3 linked regions of the Oreochromis niloticus genome follow. The main gene of each other region encodes a partner of the protein of the gene in region 2 in a complex. Links are inferred from orthologs where the notes say so. Each region holds a gene or a part of one and is shown on either strand. Other genes may lie near its edges.

Region 1 (10,684 bases), on a different chromosome or scaffold from region 2:
CCTACATCCAAAGTATTTCCAAACTATGAATGATGATCCGCTTCTAGGGACAAGCTCCACGTCGTGCTGCGCCAGACATTTAAATTTTGTTTCGATGGTCTGTTATCTGGAGTATATCACCCCAGTCAAGTGCTTTCAGGAAATGTGATGCTGAACAGTTATGGGAAGCCAAACTCTCATATGATTGAGATTAAAATTTGAGTCATTGTGCAGCCCTAGTTAAAATGTAACTATACAAAATCCTGTTAAATTAGAGGGGACAAAGATGAAAGTACAAGCGATACCAGAGGTACCCATTAACCTGTAACATATTTGATACATACAGTTTTTCATCATCATTGTGATTCTGCTGTTTTGTTTTTTCCCCCCCATAAAACCTAAATAAATTGGACAATACATTTTTAAACGATAAATTTCAAAAATTGTCAGAAGATTCGATGAACAAATTATCTGAATGATTTCATGGTTAGGGCTTTAAAGGTTTAACTCTTTGTTATGCATCAGCTGGTTTGTAAAGTGTATGTCTGATTATTTATGAAGGCACAAGTGTCTGTATCTGTGGTGTGGAAGCTCTTCAGATCAGATGCTTTGAGGATGATTTTTAAGATGGGATTAAGATGTCTAATGAAAGGATTCATGCTTTTGTGCTTTGTTCTACTCAGGATGTGAATAAAGTAGTTTTAGGAATGAAAAGCAGACTTGAGAGGGAAATTTAGATGTGTGTGCTCTCGTATCTGCACACCTGGTGAATTGTTACACAAACTGCAGTTGCCAGTTTTTGTTAAGTTATTAAAAACTGCCTCCATTGTAGAGGAAGAGGCTTCACCAGCTATCTGACAAGCACATCGTTTAAGTTGACAGCATTTGGGGTTTGCCAGGACAACAAATGCTGTCTAGATTCACTGTAATACAATACAGTCTTGCCTGCTCTACTGACAAGCCAGTGTAGGCATAAATATAATATAATCCCACCCAGTAAAACAAGTCTTTCTGTTCTTCTGCAGGTTGAAGCTCCATTCATACCAAAGTGTAGAGGCCCGGGGGACACGAGCAACTTCGACGACTACGAGGAGGAGGAAATCCGCGTTTCTTTAACGGAAAAATGCGCGAAGGAGTTTGCAGAGTTTTAGGACGTGAGAACATGGATATATCAGGGAAAATAAGGGGATCTTTGCACTCTTCTGAAGACTTGGGATGGAGCAGAGACCATCTTTTTCAGATCTACTACATAGTCCCTTCATTCCACAAGGCTGAATGAGGTCGCCATGATCCTTGGGTGCCGATAACCTGTCACCGTCACGTACACCTGCATATTAAAGCAGACACATCACTTTTCTCTTTCTTTTTGTTGTTTTTTTTGTACTTATCCTTTTTTTTTTTTTTACTTTGAAGCAGTTAGTCTTGGATGTTGTTATCCCCTATAAAAATGTGATATTTTTCAATTTATGAGGAAAAACTGACAGTGGCCAATAATGATACACACATTGTGGGTTGTAGGGATTCCCCTCCAGTTGTCAGCAATGTACATTAAGAGTGTGCATCACATTTAGATTTTGTCTTAGGTGCAAATCTGTCCAGACATTTGACAACTTTGACTGTTTAAAGGATGACCAAATGGGAAAACGCTAGGTGACACAAGAAGAGAGGTCCTTTCCATTCTTTGCTTTAAGCCTTAGAGAGCCAAATCCTTAGATGAGCCCCCCTCACCCCCATGTTCACTGTCTCCTTTGTATCGTGACCCAGGCACAGCAAGCCATGCAGAAAAGGACAAACCTTGTTACATTAGTAAAAATGTAAAATCCACTTGTTTGTTTGATCTGTTTGGGTCCGCTAGTTACATGTAAAGTTTGATATGTTACAATATTTTGTCGCTGTGTCAAACATTATAATCATATTGTCCCCATCGGGCCTGCTTATAAAGACCCTCATTACATGTCTGTGGAACAACGTGACCTCGGTAAAAGGGAGTAAAGAGAAATCCTTTTAGGGTTTTAACTTTTATGTAAAGCTGAGAGGGTCAGTGTGAATAGTGTTGCAGCTCCGCGCCTCAACATTTAGTGAATCTTTAAAAAAAAAAAAAGTATAATGTACTCAATGAAAGATGTTTTAAAATCTTTGAACAGGAATGCATAAAAGAAAGGATATTTACCATATTCTCCCTGTTATCGCCCCAAAGAGATTTCTTTATTTCATTCTTGTCAAAGAATGTAGATTTGCAACTTATAGGTATGCATATTTGAAAGCTTGATTTCAGTTTTCCTCACAATACACTGGCTAAAATGAAGACTGCTCCTTTGTATCACATGTAACCCTGTTATTGTTAAGCTCATTACATCATACGTATATGCATTGTTTCATATATGTTTTTATTTATACACATTAGAGATGCTAATAAATTTTATTTTTAAAAGTGTTGGAATTTTCTTGCACCCTTTCTTCCATCGTGGATTGCGGATCCTACTGTGTGATCTGGGTAGTATCAAAAGTCCAGAGGCCTCAAGAGAAGATATTTTATTTTAGACGTTTTAAGCAAGTTTGTATCACAGTGAGCACTATGGATTCCTGATTTGGCATCTTGGTATGAACAGCTTAATTACACATAACTTGAATACAGGTGAATACATGTTAGCTTTTTAGAAGTGGGCTGGGGCTTTTTCCATGTGACTAAGGGGTAAAAGACTTGGTGCTACCTGGACAGATCAGTAGTCTGTTAAAGAGCTCACACAAAGACGCATTCAGCCATTACACCTTTGGTCAATTTAAAATCACAAGTTAACCAATGCACGTGAGGAAGCTGGAGAGAAACCACACAAGCATTATGGAAACGTGAACTCATCAGAGAAAGGCCCTGTCTAGCTGGTGGTTTAAACCCAGGACCTTGCTGTGAGCCAGCAGTGCTAACCACTATATTTCTGTATTTGTTGTAACTGACAATCCATCACTACATATTTGGACCACAACACTGTATATAAAAGATGACCATAGCCACCAGTTACGTGAAACCAGAGTATTAAACACAATGAAAACGGTTTATTGTGGATACTAACTCTGCTTCTCATGGTTTCCGCTCTGGCTGTTTTTCTTTTCCGGAAGTTGTCGTTCGGTTTGGACCTATGGTGTTGCCGTAGGTACTCGGCGTATGGGTAATGTAGTGTAGCAGGAGACACGTGGGACGCTGCGTTTCCGTTCATTCGAAGTTTACGGAAACATGGCGGGCCTGGAACTGCTGTCTGACCAAGGATACCGTTTAGATGGAAGAAAAGCCACCGAGCTGCGGAAGCTTCAGGCCCGTATGGGTGTGTTCACTCAGGCCGACGGCTCTGCGTATTTAGAGCAGGGGAACACCAAAGCTCTGGCCGTGGTGTACGGTCCCCACGAAGTAAGTGCCGCGGATGGAGGGGAGGGTTAGTGGGGATAAACAATAAAATGCATTTGATTATGGTCATCACACCAGTGACATAAAGTCGCCACATTTTGATATAATATAGTGTAAATACCTGAGAAAGGGGAATTTTCAGCGAGATCTTTTGCTTGTAGCAGTACTTGCACAGTGTAGTATCATTATTAAATTATTGCTCAAAGCAGACCAGATGTGTAGGAAGTTTTATTTAAGGCTCAACAGCATGAAGTATTAATTGAAATCAAAGTTATGATAACATATACATTCTCTAGACACTTGATTGGGTACACCTTGGCCCATGGTATGAATTCAACAACACTTTTCCACTTGAGTTTTTTAGTCCATATTGAGATAATAGCATCACACAGTGGCTGCTGATTTGTTGGTTGCACATCCATAATATTAATCTCCTGTTATGCCTTTGGAATGAGAAATGGTGATTCTAGAGGTCATTTGAGAATATTCAAGAAACCTGTTTGAGGTGATTTGAGGTGTGTGATGTGGGGTGTTATCCTGCTGGAAGCAAACATCACAAGATGTGGTCATAAAGGGATGGACACAGTCAGCAACAATAATCAGGTTGACTGTGTGCAAATGATACGTTTATATTCCAAGTATATTTGCGTTAACAAGCCGTCGAACAAGTGCACCAAAAAAAGTGTCCAGTTGGTGTATATTGCAGCATTTCTTTATGTTCAGTGCAGTTAACATTGTCCCAGTGTTTAAGCACAGTAACGTCCAGTCCAAGCTGTACATCAGTTCTTACGTGTCGTTTTCCTCCAGATGCGAGGTTCCCGAAGTCGGACTCTTCATGATCGAGCAGTTATCAACTGTCAGTATAGCATGGCCACGTTCAGCACAGCGGAGAGGAAGAGACGACCACACGGAGACCGCAAATCCACTGAGATGAGCCTCCACCTGAAGCAGACGTTTGAGGCTGCTGTGATGACCCAGCTGTACCCTCGCTCTCAAATTGATATCTATGTCAAGGTTCGTGTTGGACTGACACTTCATCTGGTGAGAGGTATTATAGGTATTATAGATTTCTTTGTAATTGTTCACAAACACGTTTCCATCGTCTTCCAACAGATTCTGCAGTCAGACGGAGGGAATTACAGCGTGTGCGTGAATGCTGCCACACTGGCAGTGATTGACGCTGGCATCCCTATGCGGGACTATGTGTGTGCCTGCACTGTAGGGTTTGTGGATGAGACCCCCCTCGCTGACCTGTGCTATGCGGAGGAAAGTGGAGGCGTGAGCTCATTGGCTTTAGCGCTTCTGCCCCGAGGTGGACAGATCGCTCTGCTGCAGATGGATGCCAGACTGCATCAGGATCACCTCGAGACTCTGATTGAAGCTGCAATGACTGCTTGTAAAGGTGTGAGCAAAGTGCTGGATGAGGTGGTGAGGCAGCATCTTCAAGAAGCCTCGGTGCTCACTGGAGAGTGACGTGGGACGGCAGCAGGAACATGTGGACTCCGAGTGCAGCTTGAAAGTGTTATTGGACTTTAAATATTTACAAATGATATTAACGTTTAATTCATTTATATCAGTCACTGAATACTGTTGTATGTATGTGATAAATGTAATAATAAATATTTTAGTCATGCATCGTTTCCTTATTGGTTGTTTATTTGTGAGTGAGGTATTCAAACTTGTCTACTTATACGACGTCTGCTCCTGCAGCTTCACCTCTCCACCTGCCTCCCAGCCATTGAAACATGTATCCTCTCTTGTTTCTACTGACCTTCTCTCCAGGACACACCTCCATCACCCCCGGTTATCTTCCCCACCTGCTCCCTACTCTCTATGATGGAAGCTTGTTTGTCCAACTCAAAATTTTTGAGATTTTAACCCTTTCTGGTTACTAAGTATCTTGAAATGTTGACTTACTTCTGAGCTCACACATTTTGAGATATATATTTCCACTGGCAGAAACAAGCTACCACATTGATGTTCTACATTTTATAGCAATAAATAATAATTTAAAAAACTATGTTTTAAACTAAATACACGAGTAAAGTCACTCTGTATTAAGGTAAGCTAAATGAAAACTACGAGCTTTAAGCATTTAAGAAAAATTTTAAGGGAAGTTTTAAACATGTACCTTATAACGTATAACATGTACCTAATAACGATGAAACGGGTTATTCATCCAGTATTTTCAATATTTCTTTGTGTCGTTTTATTTTGTTTTACTTTATTTTATTTTAACTTGCTTGAGCGGAAGTCGGTGCGCCGCGGTAATGTTCCCGCAGGAACAAGGAAATCGAAAACGTCCAGCAGCGGCTTCTGCGATAAAGCCCCACCTCTGAAGGTGGATGTGACCAGTGGACACAGGTGGGTTTTTTATATATATTCTGCAAAATAATAAAAAAATTTGTTAAAGCTCTTTAAAAAAAAAAAAAAAAAAAAAGCTTTTTCAGCGTATAGCGGGTTTAAACATTTACCACTCAGCGAAACCGTCCTGCTTGCTTGCTAGCTCGCTGCACCAGGCTAACCTCAGCTGTCAGTAGATGCTCTGACAATGGATCCCAGGAAGCAATTTCTCAGCTCGATATAAAGGCGTGATTACCGCAGCGTCGAATGGTCATAAATGTCTTCATATCGATGTGTATTCCTCAGCGGTAGTTATCCTTACGGATTGTTAACAAATCATATTTAAATTGTCTGTGTGTTTCCTTCAGGATCCGCCAGTAAATCCAGGCTTTGGAGTAACGTTACAGCTGATAATATGGGGCTGCTATCTGACCCAAACAGAAGACGGGCTTTGATCAGTATGCTGACTCGCCTCAATGCCCCAATCTGGTGAGTTTTAGTCAGTGTGAAACGTCTGCCTACTTTCGTTTAGCTCTCTCTCTCTCTCTCTCTCTATTAATATTACTTCTGTCTTGTTTTAGTGTGGTCTGCTACTTTGCCGGTGTGGCTTGGTTCATGGGTTTGGCCTTTGAGCCGTTCACTCTGCGGACATACATGTCAGAGAATGCCATGGGCTCTACCATGGTGGAGGAGCGCTTTCCAGCTGGGGAGAGAGCGTTGGCCACCGGGAGGGAGTTTGCAGCCCATAAGAAGAAAGTTGGGTAAGGTTTACTATAGACTTGTGCTTGTGGGTCTTTATGCAGTTTGTTCCTAGTTTTTTGTTGTTATTTGAAACTCAAGTCTCGGTAGAAGTCTGATCGTTTTTACAGTAATCTTGTTTGACTATTTGCGTCTCTGCAGTGGGATGCCAGTGGACTGGCTCGTGAAGAATATGCAGGATCGAGGACTGGAAGTGTTTACTCAGAGCTTCTCTCGCACACTACCCTTCCCTGATGAAAACAAAGAGAGATATGTGAGTTTATCGTGGAAAACTGATTTTGTTCTCAGCAAGAGACAGACTGGTTTTTGCACAATCTTTATGAATATTTAATGACTTATCCTTTGGTGCTGTCTCCTCTTCTTGGCAGATTGTAAAAGGCACAAATGTATATGGTATCCTTCGAGCTCCTAGAGCTCCACGGACTGAAGCCCTGGTGCTGAGTGCTCCCTGCAGCCCAGGTGATAGCAACAACCAGGCTGTGGGACTGCTTCTCGGCTTGGCTCAGTACTTCAGAAGTGAGTACAGCACCCATTCCCCTCTCCTTCTCCACAATTTGAATGATGCTGTTTGCTTTTCTTGGTTTAATGAATGTTGTTTTTTTAATAGATCAGATTTACTGGGCCAAGGACATCATCTTCCTTGTCAATGAGCATGATTTGATTGGTATGCAGGCCTGGTTGGAGGGCTACCATCACACCAACACTACAGGTGATCAAACACGTGTATCTAGTTACAGTAAAATAAAGGAATGAGATGTATAACTAAGTTAACTTTACTGTTGAAATGGTTCATCCAGGTATGTCGTGGTCTCCATTACAAGGCCGTGGTGGATCAATCCAGGCAGCACTGTCCCTGGAGCTTAGCAGTGATGTCATCACCAGTTTGGACCTGGTACTGGAAGGTCTCAATGGCCAGTTACCCAACCTGGACTTAGCAAACCTCTTCTATGCCTTCTGTCAGAAGATAGGAGTTCTTTGCACCATTCAGGGCAAGGTAAAGGCTTATAAACAGACGCACTCTGCTCTGTGTGTGGTTAGCAGAGTGCTAAGACTATGTGTTGAAGAGTCGTTATGTAGCTTTTCTTTGTGGATGTGTTTATAGCTGCAAAGGAACGATTGGGATAGCGTGTCGGGGTACAGCCACGCAGTCCAGACCATGATGCTAATGGTGATGAAGCAGGCCAGTGGGCGGCCCTGGGGAGACCACGGCCTGTTTCTGCGCTACCACATCGAAGCTGCAACCATCAAGGGTGTCAACAGCTTCCGGCAGTACAAGACTGACGCCACTACCATCGGCAGGTCAGAGATGGTGTATACTGCTTTTGTTTATATTTAAGGCTTTTATGTTCTGCTTGTAATTTGACACTTTTATGATCTTTTTTTTGTCTAAATGAATGTCCTGCAGGCTGCTGGAAGGAATGTATCGTAAGCTGAATAACCTCCTGGAGCGCCTGCACCAGTCCTACTTCTTCTACCTCATGCCGTCACTCTCTCACTTTGTCTCTATTGGATACTACATGCCAGCCTTTGGCCTGCTCGCCGTTATTCTGCTGCTGCGTGTATCCTGAAATAAAAATGAAATGAAATGTATAAAAGAAACCTAATAACAGCTGAGAGCAGGGTGGGAACACATTCAACCTTCAGAGTTTTTTTTCCTTGACTGTAATACAGGCGTTAGACTTGTGGGTTCAACTCAATACTCCACCATCGACAACAGAGGATGGAGTTGCTGACATTGATCAGGTTAGACACACGTGCTACGACAAACTCATCAAAACTGAACCTGAATTTTGCTGGCTTAAGTCTGGTTAATCAACACTTTAATAAAAATCTGCTTCCTCCCAGCAGTCCAGTCCAGGAGTGCTGTCGGTGTTGACTCCTCTGGTGATCAGCCACCTGACAGGAGTTGCTCTGTACGCGCTGCCGATCCGTTTTCAGGAGACTGCTGTTGAACATTTTCCTGTGTCTGAGACCGAGGCTGTGGTCCTGACAGCAATTGCTATTTACACAGCAGGCCTGGCTTTGCCACATAACACACACAGGTACTACATAATGTGTGTGTGTGCGTGTGTGTGAATTGATTTTTCTTGTAAGCCTTCATTGGTAATTTTATTAGATACACCTGTCCTACTGCTTGTTAACACAAATATTTAATCAATCAATCAGATGATAGTAAGAAGTGCTTTGTCTGAGTATTTCACAAACTGCCCACACAACCATCTCTAGGGTTTACAGAGAATGGTCAGAAAAAGAGAGAAGAATATCCAGTGAGCGGCAGTTCCTGACGTCAGAGTAGAGTGACTCGAGGAGGGCGAAACATTAATGTACAAACTATGAAACTGAGTTTTCAGTATGAGCACAAATTCAAATCATTTAGGGTTCTCACACTGAGTTATGTATGCATCAGTGCACACACTTAAGCGACCAGAAACCGCAGAAAGTCAGTAGCACTTGGTAACTTTAAGTTAAAAAAGGTGACGGCGACTTAAAATTTGTGGGGCCCGAATGAGTCGATCAACTAAAGTGAGCTTCCTGTGTGGATTACCCCTCAAAGTTCAGTACATAAACTTAAATTGTAAACATGTCAAAACATTAATTTTAGTTGATTATGAGACAATGGCTAACTTGACGCGGGAGATTAAGTGAGCTGTTGTGTTGTTTGTTGCAGACTGCTGTCGGGGGAGGGCACGGAGCAGGGCTGGAGAGTGCTGAAGCTCATCGCGGTGCTGTATCTGGCTGTGCTGCTGGGCTGCACTGCCCTCATCAACTTCTCCTTAGGCTTCATTCTGGCTCTCACCCTGGTGCCGTTAGCTGCCTTTGTCACACCCCACGTTCCAAAGTAAACACCCGCACAGACACTTTGGCCTTCATAGCCCCCTATCACCATACAGAACTAAAACTGTGTTCTGCTCTTTTTCTCTCTCCAGGGTTTTGTCAGCGTTCATCTTGGTCATCCTCAGCCCAGCTTGCACGCTCCTGTTTTCAGTCTTTTTCTTTCAAGAGCTGCAAGAAATGCCTGTCAGCTTCCAAGATGGGTGGTTGCTGTATCTATCAGTCATTTCACAGGGGATCCTGGACCACTCCCTGTATGGATCTCTAGTCTACCCACTCATAGCCTTGCTGGTTTATCCATGCTGGCTGCTTTTCTGGAACATCCTCTTCTGGAAGTAGCCCACAGGTCCACTGAAGAGTCTCGTGAGTGCGACCGCCCTCCGAAATGTTCTCAGGTTTGTCATTGCTGGGTGAATGTGAAGAATTATCAGTTGAATCCACTGGAGAGGAAAAAACAATGTACTGTAGTTGCCTTGGAAAAGACGCAGCAACTCCAACTCCATGTTTGGACATTTGGTTATTACGTTTACTCGAAGTATTTCAGTCTTTTAAACATCAGAGGCATTTCTGAGTCACCAAAACTATTTGAAAGTGAGCAAAATGAACTGATTTCTACTTAACATCAGTCTCAGAATTATACAGTATAGGTGCATGAAGGGGATGAGTTTTTCCCAATAACTATAAAAGTCACGGTTGGGTTGATTTGTGTAAAAAGAGATTTTGATTAAAGACTTTTTTGGGGATTTCTTCTAAAGGTTTTTTTGGGGGGGATACATAAAGAATAATACTGTGCTCTCTCTCTCTCTTTTTTTTTTAATCATACAGGATGCTAAACATTGACTCGGTACCAACATATAAAACAGTGATATAATGGTAGAAACCATTTTGGCCGTCTGCCTCTTTTTAAAATGTTTGTCTGCATTGGAACAAGCCATCACTACATCTAATATTTTTATACTTGTTGAAACTTTGGTTTGTGTTTATTTCATATTTATGGCTGCCAAAAATAAAATACATTTTGACACCTTCCTGTATTATCACTGCACATACGTACAGCTTATTTACTACGGCAATGTAAATACATAAAAACGTTCCATTAGGACGGGGGTGTTCACGAATTTTATATCATTTACTGTGTCACAGAATTATTCAACTTTGTAATCTGTAATATAATAAACATGGATGAAAAATAGATTTTTTTTCAATGTTGAAAAACACTAAAAAGATTGAAATGACCTGTTGGCACAGATTAAGAGGACTTTCACAAAGTCCTTCCCTGTACAAACATCGGGAGGTTTTACAGAGAACAGTCAAAGACAAAATACCCAGTGAGGTGCAGTTCTCTGGTTAAACATGCCTGCTTGATGCTAGAGG
Region 2 (11,205 bases):
GCACCTTCAAAAAGCCACTGAACTGAAAAGATGCACTCATGGACTGTTTCTTTGAGCTGTAAATGCAACTTTCATTTTTATGTGCAGGTGTTTCATGGCAGAAGACAAAGCTGCAAGAGGCAAGTAAACTACATGATAAAAGATCTTTTACTTTTCTTCTTTTACTAAATTAAAAGAAAAGCGTCTAGACTTCTTGAAGTTGCTTCTTTTACTAAATTAAACTTCCTAAGAAATGATTCTGTGGTCATCTTCAGGTCCATGAAACAGTCCAAGTAAGACTTGCAGACATAGAAACAGGAAAATAAAGATTTATTGCTTTACCTTTAGATCAGATCTATTCTACTAAATCATGCCTGTTAATCAGGTTGCTGGGAGGTGGCTTCCTGTTGAATTTGTGATATGCTAATGCTAAATAGCGCAAAGGCTAATAAGCTGTTTTGTAGACTGGTTGAGGTTTATATGTGGACCAAACTGTACATGCAGAGGCCACAAAAGACATACATTTTTGATTTAATCAATAAGTCAGCCACCCCATGATATTCTTATTTCCCACAGTGGCCTTAAGTGAAGTTAAGGACATTGTACCATACCAATATCCTGTACTACACTGTGTACTCACTGTACAGGATATTGGTCGTCTTTCAAAGGTAAATTGTTTTTGGGACTATGTAAATTTATTAATCTAATTGCAAATTAACAGTGCACACATCCTTTACTGCTTTCTAAAATTACTCACTGGGCTTGTTGTCCTTTCCCTTGCTCGTCACACTGAGCGTGTGGATGTAGAGACGAAGATACCAAGGCACAGAGTCCAACAGCAGTACAGGGAAAGACCTGTATGGGTGGTTGTTGTACATTAATGTGTGAATCTCTCCTGTCTGCAGCCCGTATCCAGCCACATAACGCTCAGCATGGAGCAAGGGACGCAGCATTTCACCTGAGGAGAGAAAGTCAGAGTGATTTTAATAATTCACTGGGTGTAAAACAAAAGTGACGATAAAAAAAATGGCTTAAAAATTTGTGAAGTGTGCGCATTTTATTATCTCGTTCTTGTTTCATCATGCATTCTTCAAGACAATATTCTGACTATCATAAACAGCTTTATACATTATACAGTCTCTACTCTTCTGGCTCACCCTCATTGGACTTCCATCGAATCAGCAGGTTGAGGGAGCGCACAGAGCCAAAGGTGGTTTCTTGGGTCAGATCGTACACAGAGAAGGTCCGTCTGTCTCCCAGCACCACTGCCTGGCTCAGCAGGGAAGTGGCTGGGCTGAGCTCAAACTGCTCCCCCTGCAAAATAAAAACAGGTTTGTTCCAATCATAACTCTTGCAGAGCTTCAATAATATATTTGACATTATCTATACATATGAGTAGTGCCATTTATCAACAGATAATCCACTAGATCAGCAACACCTCCATGTTCATATAGCTGTCACAATTCGATGTTTTGTATTCTAAGGTTTGAATTATCTAATGATTTAGATTTGCATATTTTATATTAAAGGAAAAGCAAACCTGAGGGTTGTCTGTGATGTCGATATATAGTTTACTGGAGGAGGCCAACGGACAAGCTTCTGTCAGGGTCCGAGAGAACATCTTGAACAAAGACCACTCTGAGGGAACAGACAGCTTGAATTAACAAAAACCAGGGGAATGTTACCAAAACCCAGATATGGGACAGAGAACAAAAGAAACGTGCTTTCACTTACCTCGTTTGGCCTGTCCAGAGTTGTGCAGGTCAAAGACTGAATTCACCGTCTGTCTCAGCTCCCAGGATGTGGTTTTGCACTGCCAGTCCTGACACACGGACCTGATGTGCACTGCCTGGGAATGAAAACTGCTGTGGAAGAGTTTCTCTGACTTCAAAAGGACAGCGAGACCAGCCTGTTTGGAAAATATAGTGAGGAGAAAACTTAGTACGCTAACACATGGCATTGATGTCCCGTGTTTTTTTAGGAAGAAAAATGCACATATAAAGGGAGGGAGAGAGAGCGAGAGAGAGACATTTACCTTGGATCCACATGGCAAGAGTTTCTTCCAGGGTGTCAAATTCTCTGTGCAAACAATTTCTCGTGGGAGGGTGGCATAGCGAAGGAAGCTGTGGTCTGTCACTTTAACACACACACACACACACACAAATATTGCATATGCAGTACAGTGAGTCCTGGGGCATCTGCAGTGCTGTAATGGGTATTCAACTGTCTAACACGCACCTCAGAATAAGACTATCACATGCTCAAATAAAATCTAATATATATATTAAAAAAGAGGCATCCTGAATACAGGTAAAGCACGCATTTTATTGCAAAAGGTTTCCTTAATGCAAACAGGGCCTGTGTAAAAAGTGTTCATCTGTTTACTTATTCCCAAACAAAAAAACAACAAAAAAACAAACAAACAAAAAAAACCACACAACTAAACCAAGTTTCTAACAGGGTGCAGCACACCTGACAAGCCTGGCAATCAAATCACCTGTAAAGCCGACAATTTGCAGTAGCATGAGGTGTAAAACCACTAGAAACAACAGTTTAAAAAACAAAACAAAAACAAAGCACATGTCTAGGTTAGATGAGGAAGAAGGTTACTGCACTAAATCTCTGAGACTCAATATTGAAAGAAATTAGCTACACATGGTCGTTTGGAACAAATGAGAATCTTCCTAGAGGTTGCCAACCTTCCAGAATTCCTCTGAGAGCACTTTGAATACTCATCAGTGAGGTTAACATTCAAGCTACCACAGTGTTTGTGACTCTGAGAGACACAAGATAAAAATGACAGACTGATCTCCAGTAATCTGAAGCACTTTGTGGCAGCTGATGCTGCTAAAGTTGTTTGAATCATAACTGACCAGTGATGGAACAGGGTGACAAGAGGATTACTGCAAGAGGATTTTCTCTTGCAGTAATTCTGTATAATAATGTGATATTAGACAGTTCAATGGTGGCTGATGACACAATTAGGTTTTGCAGAGGTTCATTACTACAGATGATACTCTAAATGCAAAAAGGAGACTGACTGTACCGTTGCCTATTCCCAGGGGTTTGAAGGAGGCACTGGGCTGAACAGTGTTGGTGGAGTCAATGAAGTTCAGTGATGCACAGAAGATGCCTGACAAAACATTGGTTAGCTCCTTCCATGTAGCATCGACACTGGGAAAGGCAGAAAAAAGGCATGTGGAAATGTTAAAATGATTTAGCAAAGGTAGGTTAGGCAGCAACTACATAAAAAACAAACTGTAGCCAAAACTTGTGGGAGTAGAATTTCTGGCAGTTTTATGTTTAAAATCAATACAGCAAACCATTACGATACTTTGTATAGTGATATTGTATCAATACAGGGTCACCAAATATTGATACTCTGGGAATATAACGAACAAGAGGGTTCATCACATGCACCACCATCCTGAGATGATGTTAGCTGAGCAAACTTGCATTAAATTCAATTAAATTCACATTTAATTGATGTACCATCTGAAACAGATTGCATGTAATTCGATCCCAGACTGATAACAGATTATATCCCTCTTAATGCAACATTTATGACCGGTTTTACTGAGACTGCTGGTCTCATTTAGCAGCAAAAAAACTACCTGAACTGTCTGCTAGTTCGGCATAAGCTTGAGAAATATCACTGTCATTATAAGAACTGAAGGAAAAAACACAAAAACAAAAAACAGCAAGGACGGTTATGGATGAGCAAAACTGGTAGGTTGGTGGTTCAATCCTCTACTGGTCTAGTCTGCATGTCAAAGTATCCTTGGTCCACATACTGAACCCCCAGTTGCCATTGATGCATCCATTGGAGTGTCATGTGTGCATGTTAGGTTAAAAATACTAGGTTCAGGAAAAATGTTTACAAAAGCAGGTTTATGAATGTGTTTGTGAATATGTGAATGAGGCTCATAGTAAGAAGGGGCTTTAAATGCTCAGAGTAGAAAAACACCATATAAGTACCGGTCTGGGGTTTGTTTGTTTTTTTGCCCCGTTATTAATCCACACATTCATTTCATCTCTGCTGTACTCACTCTGTCACTGAGTCTTGGAACCAGACCCAGAGCTCAGCTCCAGGTGGCGATGGTATAAAGGGTTGCCCCCACTGCATGGTCCTCCAGTAACCTTGTGTGAAAGAGATGTGCAGCTCTCTGACCGAGAATTTGGAGATGACCTGGCCCAGAGACTTGGGAAAGAGCCGGTAGTGGGACACTGAGAAATGTAACAACGTGGTTTAGAGTTAGAAAGAGCAAACATTGTTGTAATTTTGAGAACAGGAGGAAGAAAATGTTATTTAATTAATGTGGGGTGTATTAAACTCGTATAATATTGCTAATAATGAATAAACACTCCTGAAACCAACTAAACAGGAACAGACGCAGATTTTAACAGGAAGTGGACATCAATAAATCAACAAAAATGTGGTAATTTATAAGAGAAGGTCAACTGACGGAAAATACAGATGCCATATCACGTGGTAATCTTTTTAATGTTTCGATCTGACAGATTATAGGAGCATCGAGAAGCAAAATATGAACCCTCATTTCGAAGCATTTAAATGTTTGTCATTTTATACATTATAGAGCTTTTCTGTCCGCTGTTCGACAGACTCAAGTATATTCATAAGTTACTTCTATAAGAAGATAAAACATTTACATGTGTGTATTTTCTTATTCGTGTCTAACAGAGTGTTATCTCCCTGCTAGCAGTTAGCTTACCTTTGTTTTCTCTCATGAAGTCTGTGTCCCACAGGGTGCGGAACTGGAAGCTGGCATAAATATCTCCAGAGTGCAGAGGTCTGATGACCAGCTCTTCTTGGAAGTCGTCTTTAGGCTGTGGTACCGACGAAGGTACCACTGTTTCAGGGGCAGAAGTGCCCTGCGTGTCGGCTGCAGCATCAACCGTAGCGGCTTCTTTAACCTCGGTTGCTTCCCACCGTCTCCCCTCCACCGCGGGCTGGTCAGCCGTTTGTTCCGCTGTTTGTGCATTATGGTCAGCCCCACCGTGGTGGTCATTAACTGGCGTCGTTTCATGAATGTCTGCGACAACAAACACGGACAAACTAAAAAGAATAAACAGCCAAGACGAGCAGCTGCACCTGTGAGCAGCCATTTTTCTCGAGGCGGTGGTTGACTTCCGCGTTAACGCGTCATGAGTAGAACCAGCCAATGAGCTGCTTCCATATGGAGTCATCCTTGGCACTGGCACGAGGCTGCTTTGTTTTAAGCCTAAATATTTTCTTTAAAAAAATTATAAATACATGCTAACATGGAATATGTTTCTGTTTTATTTTAAGCAAATTCTAAAATTAAAAAAATAATACATTTTAGAAACTATTAGTTTCATGTGAAGGCGGTATGGAAGCGGTATGACAAATTATATTTTATATGTAGATTACATAAATTATATTATATCCATATGAAGACAATAAATGAATCCATACATAAATGTAGACTATAGTAAATGCACATAATATGTCATATGTCAATTTGTGAATTGTAACCAATCAACCAATTAGAGGCCTGAAAATTCTCAATTAATTTAGCCTGTCAAACGTCTGCTCATCTTAATCTTTCATTTTACAGCATTACCAATGCTGCTTGCAAATATATTAAACCTTATACACCCTGAATAAATGGTGCGAAGGGCTACTGGTGTCTTGCCAAAACCCATAAAAAAGCTACATTAATAATTAATAAAGGCCATAAATTTAGGTTATCGGTGTGCGAATAAGCATTGTGCTCTGTTGAATATTTGGTCGCGTTGCTGGACAGGGATGGGCATCATCAACCCGTTGGCATCATCGGGGGCAAATCACCCCTCCCTCATCCACACATCATCGCGCACACAGCCCAGACTCACACGCACACGCACACACACACACACACGCACATACACAAACACACACGGAATTTCGGCTCAGCCATGGCTCCCTGTTAGATGCTCAAAGCGGCTGTTGTCAGAGCGAATTATATCTACTCTCGCTCGCTGCTTTCCTCCTGACCTTGCCTGCCTCCGGTTGGGTTTTTAATATTTTATTTAGGATTCCTGCGCTGCCTCCCCATGGCTACATCGGATGGACTAGACGGCTGTCTGCAGCGAGGCAGATCTCAAAGTGACCCGAACATACTCACCGAACCGGGCATCGAGTTGGCTCACGGCACAGGTAAGATAGGCGTTATTTTGTCTACATTCATCCGCTCCATAGGCGAGTTTTTATTTTTATTTTATTTTATTTTTTTAAGGTTGCCGCTTCTTTGGCGTTGCAGACCTCCTTGTTTGCCTAGCGGGATGTCAGAACACTAAGGCACAATTAGCGCATATGCTCCCAACACTGGATGTAGAATATGACTGTAACGCTGAATCGTGGAGCTGCATGTTGAAAACGAATGCCATCTCAGCGTCTGTGAATGGCTGCATTCCCCACCAGATTTGCGCCTTACGAAGACGCTTGTAGCCCTTGTGGCTGATATGGATGCGAGTAGTATTTGGGAATCCGCGTGTTGGCCGTTTAATATGATATTACCGTGTGCAACTTTTACTCTATTGCCTATCTATTGCCTTCCACGCTATCCCAGCCCCTTTATAGTGAACCCAGGCTATTTAGCATCACAAAATCTGCATGCATGTGTGGTCCATGATCCAAGCTTAACGAATGTTGGTTTCCTGTCTGATCCACTGCTATAGCGTTGTTATTAAGAGAGATCCATGGAGGGATTCATGTTTTGACGTGTTGCATTAAAAACAAAAGAAAAAAAGCACATGCTTATCTTATTGAAGGCCTATGCCTAGAGCTCTGTCCCTGTATTGACAGCACTGACATCCCCACCCCATACCGAACTGATCACTGCTGTGATCAATAGCCGACAATCCACGTGATATAGGCTATAGGTGGAAATATACCCAATTTATCATCACAGCCTTGTACTGGTACAATCGGACTGGCCAGTTATTGATCCTTCAGGTGATCTTTCCAATATGGAGTCCTTGTTTGTTTCTCTGTGGGTTAGTCATCTAATGTTACTCATCTTTCTGCTTTATGGAAGAGGATAATGAATTAAACTTTCATTAATGACAGAACACCAGGGAGCACTCATGCCGTGCTCTCCTCTGGTGAGCTCCTGGAAGTGAATTTGGTTGTTGTTGTGCTGGAAGCACTAGTAGCCTATGCATTCACCTAAAATACACTGATTTCTTTTCTTTCTTTTTTTTTTTACGTAAGTGAGACTATTTATGGTCATACTGTGTGGGTTTGGAAAGAGTCATTGCTTACACCCACACATGGCGAGTTTTACGCACATGAATGCTTGACTGAATGATTCAGAAAAAAAAAGCAGAGTAGTTCACCTTTCAACTTATCACTCACGAGACTTGCTTTTTCACATTTCCAAAATCACACCTGCCTGCACTCATCAGCTGGCCATAGCACGTTTATAATGGAGCCTTGCTGAATTCAACCCTCCCAGGGATGATTTAATTCACACATAGGTGAATGTGATAATGTCACACTGGGTCTTTGACACACCTGAATAAACAACGCAGCAGTTTGGCGGATCAGCCAGGCCAGTGATGAGAGCTAAAGCTGTCAGGGAACGCCGAACGTCAGCCTCCATCCCTGGAATATGCACAACTGCATCACAGTTTCAGACACGAGCATGCTACATGAAAGACGGAGTAAATACAGTTGTAACAGCAAGGACAATACCGGTGTCTGGTGGCCCAAAGTACACAGCATTACCCACCCCTTCTCTGCGCGATCACCACTGCACTAATGTCTGGGGCACTAAGTAATCCTTTGGCAAAGACTGCCTTTTTTTTCTCCTCCCAATACAGTAGATCTCGCAGCTGCAGAGGCTTACAATGTGTTCATACACTTACTCAATACTGGGAGGAGAGTCAATAGAGACAACAGTTACAGCTGACCATCTCAGAAAACCAGAGCAGTGTTTCCTTTTTGAATGCGGCTGCAGTAATACTACAATACAGACTCGCCCTCTCAAAGAAGGGCAAGTCGATAGGTCTCATTGCAAGTGTCCAACAATGCAAATCCTACTTTCTTTCAATAAAGCGCACAGAGTGACATTGCATTGCTCTGTTGGGAGTTTATCTAAATTGAGGCAACCTCTTTGAGCTGCAGATTTACAAGAATGATTCAAAGTTACAGGAACATAAGTCCAGCAACAGGAGCAGCAGTATAAACACGTTTAATCAGTTCATTTGGACAAGGAGCCCTTAGATTCCCCTGCTAATAAAATGTCACTTTCACTCAAAGTTCCACTTAGTCATTGCAGAATGTCGACCAAGGTAATGGTGTGGAGAGGACACCTTGACGCTTTGCGGACAGGGAGCTTGTCCAAGCAGGGTTATCCCTATGGCTTCGTTCCTCAAAATAATTCTTTTCCCCTGTAGAAAGCTGCAAAGCTGGAGAAACAGTGGAGATGAACAGCACAGAAGCTGGAAGTTTGAGAAGAGTTGAATCACACAAATATCAGCACAAGCAGATTTATGGTGCACATAAATCTGCAGTTAGAGACTATTTCTATTATTGATTAAGTTTCACTTTTTTATTACTTTTTTTATTACAAACAATACAATGCACATTACAGTTTCCCTAAGACAAAGTAGTTATCTCCAGACTGTTAAATTCAGTTCACAAAGTTACAAACACAGAAAAGAAGAATATCCTCCACATGAAGAAATCGCTTCATATATCCACAGTAAATTCTAAGAATAAAAAAAATATATTCAGATGTTTTAAATCTTATAAATAATTTCTCTGTTTATTTGACATTTCATTAATTAGTTGCAGCAATTTACAAAGATGGCCAACTGCTCCTTCACTAAACACCATTCTTTGGCCAAAGACTGTAATAATTCATGGTGAAATCACTTTCACTTGCAACCCCTCCCCACTATATACCACATTGCTCAAGACCACTTCTGGTCTCCGCTCACATGACGACTTATCCAATAAGTACCTGCTGATCTGTGTTTTTTTCTCTCGTTTTGTTTTATCTTTCTCTCCTGGTCTTACTGGTACAAGAATAATCCTCTCAGATCTATCAAAAAAAAGAACAACTGAAGAATTCAGGTAAAAGGCGAGGACCTGCCTAATGAACAAGACGATATGTCAAACCCTGCGGAAGCTGATATTGAGCCATGACAATGACTCACCCCAAACCCGAGCGCTGTGTCGTACATAATCCCTCTTATATTCAGGGCTTGGTGAGCAAATATGGGAAATTATGAGTCAGCAGGTCTTATATAATGTTCCCGCAATTAACACAACATTGTTTGAAAGTAATGTAAACAAAAAGGTATTAGTGCCACAGGAATTCCTTACATAACAATGGTTTAAGACCCAGTTTCTGATTTCAGCGAGTTGCAGCGGAATAAAGAAACTGTAATTACATAACGAACAGAGATATATATATATGACCCTACCTGAAGAAATAGCCCTGCTTCAATTAAAAAAAAAGGAACTTTGACATTTTCAGGTAAAGAAAGGGTTAAAGATGCAAGAATCTGGACTCCTTAGAAGTTTAAAAGGCATTCTTAAAAGGAGACAACCCAGTGCTGGCAGGCGGCACATTTGAAGAATGTTTTTCGTCCACCTGTAATGAGGCCGTCAAGTATCTTGATGGTGTGGAAGAGGGAGATAAAGAAATGCTGGATGTGGCACAGCATTTGGTGTGGCCTTCCACTGGCACTGGCTCTAAACAGATAATTACACTGCATAAAGTAACTATCTAGCTATCAATCCAAACTACTGGCGGTTCATCAAGTTGTTGGGACGAGTTGTTGGGCTTGCCCGTGTTTACAGGTTTTGTGATGAGCGAAACTCCACCAGTTTCTGGGGCAGTTTTATAATTATTTTCTATTCCGAGTAATTAACTGTAAATTAAACTGTTTGAAATTGCAGTTTTCATTTAAGACAGATTAAGAGGCAGGCGCTCAGCGGTATGTGATGCCATTACAGCCCCACATTCTGTCTTCCTGTGAGTCTATTTTTTTCCCCTCCGAGTGATTGTCAACATCCTCAAGAGTGCAGAGAAAAGGGTGTGAAGCTGTTGTATTCTGCCGTGGGTCATACGTGTTAAGTGGTTAAAACAAAAGAGAGAGCGACGGTGACCGTGAAGTGGATACAAGTGAGAAAACAGAAAACGATCCCTCTGTTACAGTTTAGCCCATGACACCATTCTGTCTGTGCTTAGAAAGGTCGCCAGTATGCAAAACACGACCTCCAGTTTTATTCATGTGGTTGGTTTTTTGTGGAGACTTTTAATTTAAACAGGACATAAACTTCATCATGCACATGCAGCTCAATATTGGTCTCTCATTTTTGAATTTTGTTTGTTTATTTGTTTGTTTTTTAGCTGCGGTCAAGTTGAAAACTGTAAAACCCGAGGATCTATCAAGCTACATGCACACGTATGGCTGACATAAACAAGTTCAAGGGATCTGGATGGACAACGAGAACATATTGTATATAGATTTGCTCTTTGTTTAGAACCTGCAACTTTATCAAACTCAGCCAGCAAAGCTGTAATTCACGCTGAAGTCACGACTCATTCATCACGGTGAGCCTTAAGGGACTGTGAGTCAGTCAAGGCCACCTGTTAGTAGTAGCCACTGGAGAGCTATTCATTCTTCCCTCCACGATGCACAGAGGTCCCTTCAGAGGCCAGGAGAAAAAGTACATCTAATGTCAACTTGAGAGGAGCCTTCTGGTTGCCATAGAAGGTATTTGTCATATTCAGAAAAATGTGAATCTCAATAAATATTGAGTCAGACTTTCACCCAGGAGCCAGGGATGCATGTCCCCTTAGTGGCCACATGTCGTATATATGCAGTTTGATTCAGCTGCACTTTGGGAAACATGTTAAAATAGACCTTTTCCCACTATTGTCACAGTAACATGCTAACATGCCAAGTTCTCGAGTTTTCTGGCAGAAGGCCCTCAAGGCTAACTTATCCTTTGTGTATAAAATGTTCAGACATTTCTGATTGTCAAACCTAATGGATCATGTCCACTGTTAATGTGATGAACTACTCTGCTAGGGGCACTTGTGTGAACTTGAGCGTAACTGGCTTTTTCATCCTCTATAAATTACGGAACAAGTTAGTCATAGGCAACTGCAACATGGCAAATACAAGTGAAATGAGCTCAGGGGAAAGGGTCAAGCATCATTTGGCTGTACAAAAAAACCC
Region 3 (10,223 bases), on a different chromosome or scaffold from region 2:
GTGTATCAAATGCCAAAATGTCAGTCATAAATATTAATAACACGAGGCTCTGATGCCATGAAAATGTTAAGGATTACAACTTGTTGGTTGTTCATTGATTTTCTGTCATGTAGTTCTTTCCAAGTCTGCAAAGTGCAAACAAATCTAAAAACGTTCAAGGTTAAACTGGACTTTTAGACTGTTCTAATTTATTAAGTGAGTGGGCCATGCACATTAATGCACACAGAACAGGAAAATCTGAACAGTCCAGACTGCCAATGAATAGACTAAACTATATTCAGTCTGAGTAACACTAGAAATACCACAAATATAAGGTTAAAACTTCATGAATGTACATAAGATTAATTACTTGATCCTATGCTGGTGGGAGAACCTCATTAATGAGCACAAGTAGGTGGATATAGAAAAATTAGCAAGTAAGGCATTCTTTATTATCTCTATTTGACTCGTAGTTTCAGGCAGTATCCTCTTTTTTCCACAAATGCAAAAGAGAGAGAAACCAGGAAAATTACAAATATGTAACTGCGTGTCACACGTGACAATATTTGCCTCTAAAATGTACATATTTAATGATAAGTTTATGAATAAATCTGAGTTTTGTGGTAAAGTTTTGCATGCACAGTTTATATCATCACCAACCAGTGAGGGTGTGTCCCCTGGCGAGGATTCCTGCTGGGAATGCGGAGGGGGTCACTGTCCTCTCCTCTTCTTCTCTGCTCCTCTTCTTCCTCATCCCGCCGACTCTTCCTCTCTGCTCTCTGTCCTGTCGGTCTGTCCTGGGGGGGCAGCAGCTGAGTCTTCACCTTCTCCGACAAACTGTCTGCATCTTTGAACACACTGCAGAGAAGAGAGATGACTTTATTTATTTTCCAGCTCTATATTTTTATTTTCTGACTACCAGAGTAGCTCAGCATGATTCACAATGCAAAATAATCTTTAGTTATCAAACAAACTGCCCTTCAAGGCCAAACTCCCTTTCAGACAACCTTTTTATAATAGGCTTTCTCCAACAAATAAAAGATTTGAACAACAAGTCGGTGGGGTCAATCTGAGACAACCGTATAAGGCAGGCTGAGGACAAGGCATATTTTATTATTATTTATACAGGATCCAAAATAGTAACACAACAATTAAAATAATCATAACAACATAAGTCAATAGAATAAAAGCTTAATAAAGTAGAGCAGCTCAATAAAATAACCTGTCAAATGTGTGTAGCTGGTCAGTGTTCACGTGGTCGTTGATGTTCACCGTTAAGTCTGACACCTGCTGCGTGCTGGAGTTCTACACACACACACACACACACACACACACACACACACACACACGATCCATTAAAAGGATAGATTAACATGTAGAATAATATCTCAACAAACCAGCAAATAGTAAACTCAACCTAAATCATATTTTCTTAGTTTACACAACTGTGTGTCAGATCTTTGCATAGATCTACATTTCTCCAGTCTTACGGTGCAGTAATACGACCTGTATATGAATGACAAAAACTAAAACTAGCACTGAACTAAACACTAAACTAATCTAAACATTTTAATCGATACAAACTCGACTGGACCGAAAAAAAAATACAAATTTAAAAGTAAAGTGTTTGCGACCTCACCCCTGGCTGCAGTGATGTCTGCTCTGAACAGTAAGATTCAAATTTAGAAAATCAGACTTGATCCCTTTTAAGGCTTTTCATGGATCCCTACATCAGGACTGAAATGCAGGATAAACTGCACAGTCTATGTCAGTTCTCCAATGAAAAAATAATCCAGAGGAAAAATTCTTCTTCTTAAGGGGAGTTATGCAAAGTTTCAGGTTTCTGTTGTCATTAATAGAGAGAAAACCCCCACACACTACCAACATTTTTAAGGCACTATTTTAAATTGCCATTATCTAGAAAACTAATGAGACCAGTCCTACAAATGTTTATGTGCTTACCATCAGATTGAAGATCAAGGTGGAATCAACAGTGATTGCCTTGAGGAGCATTTGGGTGTCACTGTTGTTGGCTTTGTATCGCAGACTGTATAGCTCTTTGTTGTTACTCCAGTCAGCAGGCAGCAGCTCGGACTTCTTATCACTGCTGCGGGCCTGGAGGAAGAAGGTCACAGACGCCGTGAAGACAGATAAAAACCTAAAAGCAGCAGCAGAAACCTGCTTTTTCTTTTCACAATATTTGTTATCAGTATTTGGCCAGTTCACTGCAAATAACAAAACAATACTTAAAATATACAGCAAGAAATATGTGCTATTATTAGATATGACATATACTAATCTCATCACAAAGGTAAGATTGTTGTAAAAAATTGTAAATAAACTGCAGATTCTTGTGTTGCTGCAGTAAAACAGACAAAAACTAGCTAACATAAACAAGATCAACTCTATAATTAAAATGTGACAAAACAAAATTGGTCAATAACGTAAAAATTACACATAATAAAATAAAAAACTAATGTGGAAAAAGTAAATATAACAACAATAATGATACACATAAAAATCCAGTAGAGTGAGTTCATTTTTTAGGTGCATAACAATTTGTCATTATTTATATCTAAAGAAAAAAAAACACCTTTTCACCAAATCATCATGTTCAAAATAAAGAAAAATGTTTCATTTTATAAGTGGGTCACTTACTCTTCCTGTTTACTAAATGGCAGGTGTCATTCCAGAGTGATTTTATATAAAACAATCACAGAGAGATGCCGAACGCTTCCCTTTTCACGTTAAATCCCATTATAAATGCTTCATTTAAAAAAAAAAAAAAAATACTACTGATTACCTGTTGATTTCTGTAAAATGAACATGGGGAGAGGATGGAGGATAGCAAGGCTGCACACTAACACGAATCTGTGTCATAAACTCCCGTGGTGTTTCAGGATGACTGCCCCCAGTGGGTTAGCCAGCTAAAGATGACATGACAGTTTTGGTAAATTGTCGCTCTTAAACCAGATGCCGTCAAACTGAATATCAGCCATGACAGCTGGATTAAAGAAACCGAAAACGCATTTTTCACACTTTTAAATTCTTCGCGTTAACGTCGGCTTCACACAGGAGGTGATGCTTGTTTATGAAGCTATAGCTAATCTACGTTGAATATTACATACAGAACTCCACTGCAAAAACCGACATTTTAAGCATTTACTGGACATTACGGTCCGAAAAACATCGAAAACCACATATAGAGAATCTTTTTGCTAATATTTAATTTGTATTTCTCAATTTGGCGTAAGAATGATGAAAAAAGAAAATATTATCTTCTCCATTATGTGGGATAATTTAACACAAGATTTAGCTAAAATAAGCGAACTCACCTCGTCTCCTGAGCCGATGCACCTGTATCCGTTCTTTACCAGCTCCCAGTGAACAAAACACACAACGGCGTCCTGCGGGCAGGTTATCTTACCTGCGACACAGGTGTACAACACCTCCAAGCCAGCCATGTTTTCCTTCAATCTGCCAACATCGGTACAGTTTCAGGCAAAAGAAATGAAAACGAAAGTCTGGCCAGCAGCTTCACTGAGTCAAGCTGCAGTTCGGTGCCAAGCAACAGGAACCATTTCCGCTTCGCGGCTTTTCAGTTTAAAAGCACCAGAGAGCTGACCAAACGGTACCTATCTGCAAATAAAAATATCCAGTGATATTATGTGAGGTATTAACTTTTTTCATTGCTCTTTATTTCTATTTCATTTATTATTTCTAGCTTCAATTACGTTTCATTTTGATTCGCTCTCAGATTAGGTTTTCTTATTCAGTTTAGTTTTTCTTAGTTTCTGGGTTAGTTTGACTATAATGTGGGGGTATTTGTAAGAGGGAAATTTAGCCGAAGTAATAAAATACACACTCAACACTTCATGTCATGTAGACATGAAGTGTTGCGTTTCTCAGCCTTACAAAACATGTGCACCAATGCACCAAACTAAAATATTTTTCTCGTACCTGGGTTTATTTTTTATTTTGTTTGGGTTAACTGTAATAATGTTGAAATCTTCCCTACTTTAATTCATTACATCTTAATAGAGCCTATACCTCTGTATAACTGTTAATCTAAAGTAGGATTTCTCAAACCCGCGGGCCGGGGGCCACTTGTGACCCACGTCACATCTACTTTGGGCCCATATGTTGACATGAAGAATTATAATGCAATTTGGCCCTTGAACGTATTTATTTATATATATTTATATATTTAAAAATGATTTAATATGAAGGCAACATGAACAGAGAGTACAAACATGTTGAGGGATTGGTTTTGTTGGTTTAGTGAGAGAGTTATTTAACAATTTTCACTAGCAGTCAAAAACCAATGTGTACACTGATGTCTGCATTTTTATTTTGTCAAATATGAACAAAATTATGGCAGAAGTGCTGCCATGTGTCTGGCCAGAAAGAGAGTACCAATTTGTTTATTTGGTAGTTCAATGAAAGGCTTCAGTTAATGAAGAGTGAGGGAAAAAATACATTCACGTTTGCAGTTTTGCCTTTTTATACAATATTTGAAATAAAAAAAACCAAACGAACAAATTAACACTACATTTTCTAAGATATTTGTGGGTGTTTTCTTGTTTGTTAGTTTTTGTACCACTTGAAAACTAAAGTGGCCCTCGGATGAGATGACAGTGCCAGCAGTGGCCCACAGCTCATTTAAGTTTGAGATCTTTGACCCCAAAATGTCAGTTGATGAATTTTCAGATGGCATTTTTATGCTTGCTATTGTATTCTTTGTGTGAAGCTATTTTAATGAACCCTAACCTGATCAGAAAAAAGTAAATTTATGTTTTTTAACAGAGTCAATTTTGTTTTTGAAATAACCGCACGGTTAGCGGAAGCGTAGTGGCTCACTGTGTACGGCTTTTTGTTTTGATCCAACACAAATAGTCTCCGGATGAAAACAAGTATAGGACAACAATTGTTCCGCTTTGTGTGTTTGTCCTGTCTGTCAGAGTGTGTTTCACATGTAAAATGAATCCTCAGCTGACATCAAGCAAACATGTAAAAAGATAACACATGCACCCATTATCTGTATGTCTATTTTTTTGATATTCATATTTCTATATAAATTTTTCTTTAATTTCCAGCATTTGCTTTAGAGTACATTTATTTATTTATTTATTTATTTATCTGGACTTGTGGTTCCTTCTCTCCTTCCTACACATTTGGAGACTTCATTTCCCGTCGTGCACCTCGCAGGGCGGACAGCGCTTCCTTGTCAAGATGGCGGCTCCCTTGACTCTGCTGTTGATTGTGGCCGTTACGATCCGTGCCGCTCTGTTCCGGTCCAGTTTGGCGGAGCTGATTGCAGAGAGGGTGGAGGTGGTGTCGCCGATAACCGCCTGGAAGAGAGGTAAGCGCGGGTCCAGCGGCGGTTTGGAGCCGCTGCGGTCGGTTCACGTCCGGGTCCCCTCACCTCCCTCTCATCGGTGCTGTTATCCGGTAACTCGGTCAAACCGGTTCAGCTGCGAAAATCAGCAGCTGAGATTCAAATTCAGAAAGCTTGATGATGTTTTACTGACATTAAGCTAACAGCGGATACTTTTTACTTTCTGTAGGGGAAGATTTAAACAAGTGTTTCTTTGTTATTTCCAATGAATGGAGCTCAGTGGTTGTTTCTCTGTCAAACATCCATCGACCACTAGTAGTAATGACGACCAGAGTCTCTGCCAGCGGCTGAACAAAGATCTGCACAGTCTATAGTATTTGTGGACCCCTTTAAATCCTCCTGTGATCCACATTAGTTTCCACGGGGTCATTTGCGCATAGTAACGTAGACGTTACACCTGTAAAACATCTGGCTGACGTGTGTATAATGTTACATCAGCAAGTGTTTAAAAATTCATTTTCACAGCTACAGCCAATTTAAAATCACCACTAACAGGCACATGGCCCCTGCCTTCATGACCTTCTTGCTGTGAGGTGATAGCGCTAACAGTTGCACCACTGTGCAGACACCCTAATTTGGACAAAAGTATACAAACAGGCTAAAATATATATATACACCCCCATGAATAATTGGTTAATTGACCCTTAGCAACTGACTACCTCTTCTGTAATCGTTGAGTTATGAGGGCTCAAAGTGATGGAGAAAATGCACATACCCCCACCCCATGTGCTTCGATGGCCAGTAAATATCTGAAAATAATTAATGTACAAAAAAAATCAACTGGTTCACAGTGGGAGGCACTCGCTGATTTGACTTTATTATTTGACATATTTATATCAGCTTTCCATTAGTTACCACAGACAAAGGTTTTGTTTTAGATGAATTTGTGAAATGTTAGTGGACAGTGTTTAAGTTTCCATTTAGCATATGATGACACAGTACCTGACAGGAGCCAGAGGTGCAGGTTTGCAGACAATCTGAGCTTTTTCTGTAAAACAGAAAACATGACCAACATGCTGTGAGACTCACACAGAAACATTTCATGCATTTTTCATTAGGCAGTTGTAACTGGAAGCTGTGGAACTGCTACTTTCAAGAGGAGGCATTCAAAGATAACAGCCCAGTGCTGGTAAAAAATAATAAAAGTTGGAGATTTTAACATCATTTATGATTTTGGCTTCTAATGATAGTGGAATAGAGTGAAAATGGTTTAAAATGTAGCTTCACTCTCGAAATGTCAGACCAAATTCACCAAGTTGAAGTTCCATAAATGCAAAAATAAACATTTTCCATAGTCACCAAAATAATTGTGGTTGTGATTTTTATTGTAATCAAGCAGTCTTAATAAAACTGTTTCTCTGTTGCTGTTTCTCTGCAGTTGTTGAAGGTTTGGCTCTGCTTGATTTGGGAGTTTCACCATATTCTGGAGATGTTTTCCATGAGGTGAATCCCTCTCTCTCACTCACACACACACACACACACACACCTATTACAAAGTGTGTGTGAACATTGAAGGTTATATTTGTTACATGAACCTGAAAATAATCAGAAAATTAGAAGGAGATGGTCTGGAAAACAAAGACGAAACATTCCAGATTCTGCTCATTTCGTGGTGAACCATCACAGTGGAAGGGAACTTTAACTTCTTTCTACAAAACGTCAGATTTCCATTGAAGCAGCATTCAGGTAACACCCAGGTGAAAACTTTGCTTACTGAGCAGCATTGTAATAGTGAGAACTGCATCATCAGAACAAAGTGAAAGTGTCAGAGTCAGATCTTCTGAGGGAGGAGGGGCTTCCTCAGAGTCGGGCCATGGCTGGACCGAAGATTTCTAAGAGGGGAGGGCACGATACTCTAAAACATCCAGAGCGAGATCGGGGTGCCCAAAAGTCAACGCATCAAACTTTGTTCACAGAGATAGAAAATTAACTTCAACAAACACAAAATGTATTAAATAAAGAACACAAGAGTCAATCAGCAAAAGAAGGCTGCCCGTTGGTAGACTCGGAGGATGAGTAGCATCTGTAAACCACCTCTCGAATGTCACATTTCACCAACAAGGTGCCGGTGCTCAGTCTAAAACTAGTTTCATGCATTTCCACCAAAAAGACCTTTAGCTGTTTCTCAGAAAGCACTGAAGTTGCTCTGCTCGGGTGCCGTGTTGGTGGAAAACGGACAATAAATGTCTTATTTAATTATTTAGACATGCTCGGATGTTTCAGTTGCTCCTGGTTCTTGATTTTTCCATTACATGCTTGGACCTCATAGATGGTGTATTTCTACAACTGAGATCTGAGTCAGCAGAAAATCCACAAATGAGGCATGTTGATGTTTAGATGTTCATGTTGAATTCTCCTTCTGCTCTGATCCTTTCAGACTCCTCTCATCATCTACATGTTTCACTTTTTGGTGGACTACGCAGAGATCACATTTATGGTGAGTCTGAATAAAAACATCATTTTGAAGCATTTTGTAGTGGAGGCAGTCTCATTACTGGAGAGGGACGGCTCAGGTGGAGCGGACTTGTGCAGAGGATGGATAGGGAATATGCGTGTTGGACAAGAGCTGCCAGGCCACAGAGAAGATTCATAGATGTAGTGAAGGAGGATGTTAGGGATCTGGTGACATGGAGGCAGATGATTGTGACAACCCCTAAAGAAGAAGGTGGTTAAAATCTGAAATGTGATCAAATTGATTGTAAAGCCTCCCACAAACCTTGTTGAGGCAGATGTTGATGAGAGCTGGTTCTCCGAGTACAACCCAGAACCTGAACGGCAGGTTTCAGTCTCAGTCCACAGTTTTGAAGTCCAAAGGCATCAGCAGAGACACCAGGAGCGTGCTTGTCCTCTCATGTTCGATGCCCACAGGATTATACAGGAATTCATAAACCAGGATTCATCGTTAATGCAAAGGTTTAATGTGATTCCCAGTAACATATGAGAGACCAGATTCAGCCCTGAATAGAGTGTCTCCAGCTTCATGGCCACACTAATACGATCTTCACTTATCATGAACCGTGTTCACCACATTAACATTCTCGCTACTTTCCATAAAATAGAGATTTTTGGGTGGAGGGCACAGTGGAGGACACCCAGCTCTTATCACAGAGGACCAGGTACAGGGTCAGAACAGATTTCCCTCAGAGCTTCTTAAAAATAGCAGACATCAGAGAAGGAGTGAGACCACCTTGAAGTGGAAATGCAGCAAATGTTAAATCAGGCATATCTCATTTTACCGTTTCTGTCTCGTCAGCTGGCCGACGTGATCACCGCTGTGGCTCTTTACATGGCAGTGAAGGAGTACAACAAACAAGTGGTAAGAACACATCACAATACACAGTTTAAATACTTAAAAATGTGTAGAGAAGTAGGGTTGGCCTAAATTCCCAAACCCCGTCTCTAATAATGAACAGGAGTAACTTCAGCTCACGTATTCTGTGTGAGACCTTTGTGTTTGGGGCTTTGTGTGTCTGCATCTCTTTGTTTTTGATATATTTGACTTGTCTTTGATGCTGTTTCAGTTCAGAAAGCAGAAGTTTGCTTTGGAGGCCGACCGCTACCCCATGGACTCTCTGGAGCTCATCAGAAGCCCCAAAGAAATGTACTACATCCCTCTGAAAGTAGCCATGTTGTAAGTACCATCACTCATACTGCATTCTCTCCTGCCAGATTCAGCTTCTTAAATTTCATCTTCTTACCCTGAATAACACAAAGGTGTCACCACTCAGGCTCTTCCAGCTGCTTAGTTTATTATTTATTCTTGAGGCGACTGTTGTTGTGATTTGATGCTGTATAAATAAAATTGAACTGAATTCTGGGTCTAAAATGAATTCATATAGAATTAATGACCATATTATAAAATAATGATCATTTCCGGTTGATAAGAATTACGTTTTAGCTTCTCAACGTCAACATTCACAACTTTAAAACTTTAAAATAGCTGTGAAGAAAAGCTTCATCCAGACGACTGGTAAAATTTCACTATCACTTTGTGGAGGAGAACGCGTCGCCTTCTCCGTGACGCTCTGAGGTGAAGTTTGAGAAAATCCAGAGAAAACGGACAACACACTGTATCTCCTGAAAATTCTCCTTTTTGTTTTCAGTTTGTTTTATTTACTTATTTAATTACTAATAATTGTTCTTCTTTTCTCACAGTTACCTGCTGAACCCGTTCACCATCTTATCCTGTGTCGCCAAGTCGACCTGTGGCCTGAACAACGCCGTCCTCGCCCTCTTCTTCCTCTCCACAATAAAAGGTACGCTTCAGATCTTCGTCTCATATTTGTGTCCGAGCAGGAAGTGACTGTTTCCCGTTGATCTCATTCGTTGGCTCTGCTGAAGCTTTTTTTTAATTACATCAGAGGAACATGAATCACTTTGTTTTTATTTAAATGTCGTTTTTAACAAGTTTGCTGTGGTTTCATCAGATTCTAAAAAAAAATTGCCTTCTCTTTGTTTTTTCAGGAAATGTCTTACTGAGTGCCATATTCCTTTGCTTGGCCACGTATCAGTCCATCTATCCCATCACCCTGTGCGCTCCTGCCATGCTGTATTTTATGCAGGTCTGTCGTCTATGAATGGAAGCAGATATTTCATTTTTTTAAATGTTTTACTTTCTCTCTGCTCTCATTTTTCTTTTATCTTTTCCTTTGTTTGATTGTTTCTGTTCTTTCGAGCATCATTGCTGGGATTTATGACTTTTTTGAGTCCTTGTCCACGTCTCTGTCTCTGCTCTTCCAGCGTCAGTACATCCCAGTGAATTTCCGTCGGGTCAGCTTCTGGTGGTTCATCGTGCAGTATCTCTTCATGTACCTCGGCAGCTTGTTTGTCCTCATCTGTCTCTCCT

Evidence for each region. The genes of interacting proteins can lie anywhere in the genome.
Region 1: the proteins of pigt (region 2) and gpaa1 are in contact, whole or in part, in a cryo-EM structure (PDB 7W72), measured with the Homo sapiens proteins. The link is inferred for Oreochromis niloticus from reciprocal best matches to the Homo sapiens genes PIGT and GPAA1. Residues at the interface, in NP_057021.2 of Homo sapiens: Gln91, Gly92, Phe93, Arg95, Arg97, Tyr98, Ser108, Phe211, His212, Thr213, Ser214, Asp247, Phe249, Ile250, Arg340, Gln355, Tyr357, Val358, Ser359, Gly360, Tyr361, Gly362, Leu363, Leu371, Tyr373, Lys441, Asp459, Pro460, Asn461, His462; in NP_003792.1 of Homo sapiens: Arg97, Ser98, Val99, Gly100, Glu102, Tyr104, Arg134, Ala135, Pro136, Arg137, Ala138, Ala139, Ser140, Thr141, Glu142, Arg171, Gly172, Gln173, Ile174, Tyr199, His200, Asp201, Val202, Leu212, Gln213, Gly214, Arg215, Ala218, Arg311, Tyr312.
Region 3: the proteins of pigt (region 2) and pigu are in contact, whole or in part, in a cryo-EM structure (PDB 8IMX), measured with the Homo sapiens proteins. The link is inferred for Oreochromis niloticus from reciprocal best matches to the Homo sapiens genes PIGT and PIGU. Residues at the interface, in NP_057021.2 of Homo sapiens: Tyr361, Gly362, Leu363, Gln364, Lys365, Arg394, Leu395, Tyr396, Val397, His398, Tyr416, Pro418, Ala419, Gln420, Asp421, Arg422, Gln445, Glu447, Leu450, Leu451, Lys452, Trp453, Thr454, Pro518, Thr519, Pro520, Asp521, Phe522, Ser523, Met524; in NP_536724.1 of Homo sapiens: Glu30, Lys42, Arg43, Val45, Glu46, Ser49, Leu50, Leu53, Val55, Ser59, Gly60, Ala61, Val62, Pro265, Asp266, Leu267, Pro269, Leu273, Trp275, Tyr276, Phe277, Phe278, Ala279, Glu280, Met281, Phe282, Glu283, Phe289, Phe293, Asn296.

What each region holds. Positions count from the first base shown.
Region 1 is NC_031982.2:18,036,249-18,046,932, reverse strand, and holds gpaa1 (glycosylphosphatidylinositol anchor attachment 1 protein), read left to right. Parts: upstream 1-5,615; 5' UTR 5,616-5,740; intron 5,741-5,837; exon of another isoform or gene 5,838-5,989; intron 5,990-6,087; 5' UTR 6,088-6,134; coding exon 6,135-6,208; intron 6,209-6,300; coding exon 6,301-6,480; intron 6,481-6,619; coding exon 6,620-6,731; intron 6,732-6,846; coding exon 6,847-6,994; intron 6,995-7,085; coding exon 7,086-7,187; intron 7,188-7,275; coding exon 7,276-7,472; intron 7,473-7,580; coding exon 7,581-7,777; intron 7,778-7,883; coding exon 7,884-8,037; intron 8,038-8,149; coding exon 8,150-8,221; intron 8,222-8,323; coding exon 8,324-8,520; intron 8,521-9,146; coding exon 9,147-9,317; intron 9,318-9,405; coding exon 9,406-9,649; 3' UTR 9,650-10,344; downstream 10,345-10,684. Other genes in the region: prkacbb (protein kinase, cAMP-dependent, catalytic, beta b), read left to right, coding at 1,005-1,130; exosc4 (exosome complex component RRP41), read left to right, coding at 3,209-3,379, 4,184-4,390, 4,490-4,849. UniProt on the Homo sapiens protein: Component of the glycosylphosphatidylinositol-anchor (GPI-anchor) transamidase (GPI-T) complex that catalyzes the formation of the linkage between a proprotein and a GPI-anchor and participates in GPI anchored protein biosynthesis. Binds GPI-anchor.
Region 2 is NC_031984.2:22,915,064-22,926,268, reverse strand, and holds the start of pigt (GPI transamidase component PIG-T), read right to left. Parts: upstream 5,177-11,205; 5' UTR 5,107-5,176; coding exon 4,713-5,106; intron 4,207-4,712; coding exon 4,029-4,206; intron 3,154-4,028; coding exon 3,026-3,153; intron 2,116-3,025; coding exon 2,015-2,115; intron 1,889-2,014; coding exon 1,714-1,888; intron 1,618-1,713; coding exon 1,520-1,617; intron 1,294-1,519; coding exon 1,137-1,293; intron 938-1,136; coding exon 737-937; intron 1-736. Other genes in the region: phactr3a (phosphatase and actin regulator 3a), read left to right, coding at 6,058-6,160. UniProt on the Homo sapiens protein: Component of the glycosylphosphatidylinositol-anchor (GPI-anchor) transamidase (GPI-T) complex that catalyzes the formation of the linkage between a proprotein and a GPI-anchor and participates in GPI anchored protein biosynthesis.
Region 3 is NC_031970.2:5,251,786-5,262,008, forward strand, and holds the start of pigu (phosphatidylinositol glycan anchor biosynthesis class U protein), read left to right. Parts: upstream 1-5,154; 5' UTR 5,155-5,211; coding exon 5,212-5,341; intron 5,342-6,755; coding exon 6,756-6,820; intron 6,821-7,754; coding exon 7,755-7,814; intron 7,815-8,630; coding exon 8,631-8,693; intron 8,694-8,898; coding exon 8,899-9,008; intron 9,009-9,532; coding exon 9,533-9,633; intron 9,634-9,841; coding exon 9,842-9,939; intron 9,940-10,117; coding exon 10,118-10,223. Other genes in the region: psmf1 (proteasome inhibitor PI31 subunit), read right to left, coding at 640-837, 1,202-1,284, 1,942-2,094, 3,315-3,443. UniProt on the Homo sapiens protein: Component of the glycosylphosphatidylinositol-anchor (GPI-anchor) transamidase (GPI-T) complex that catalyzes the formation of the linkage between a proprotein and a GPI-anchor and participates in GPI anchored protein biosynthesis.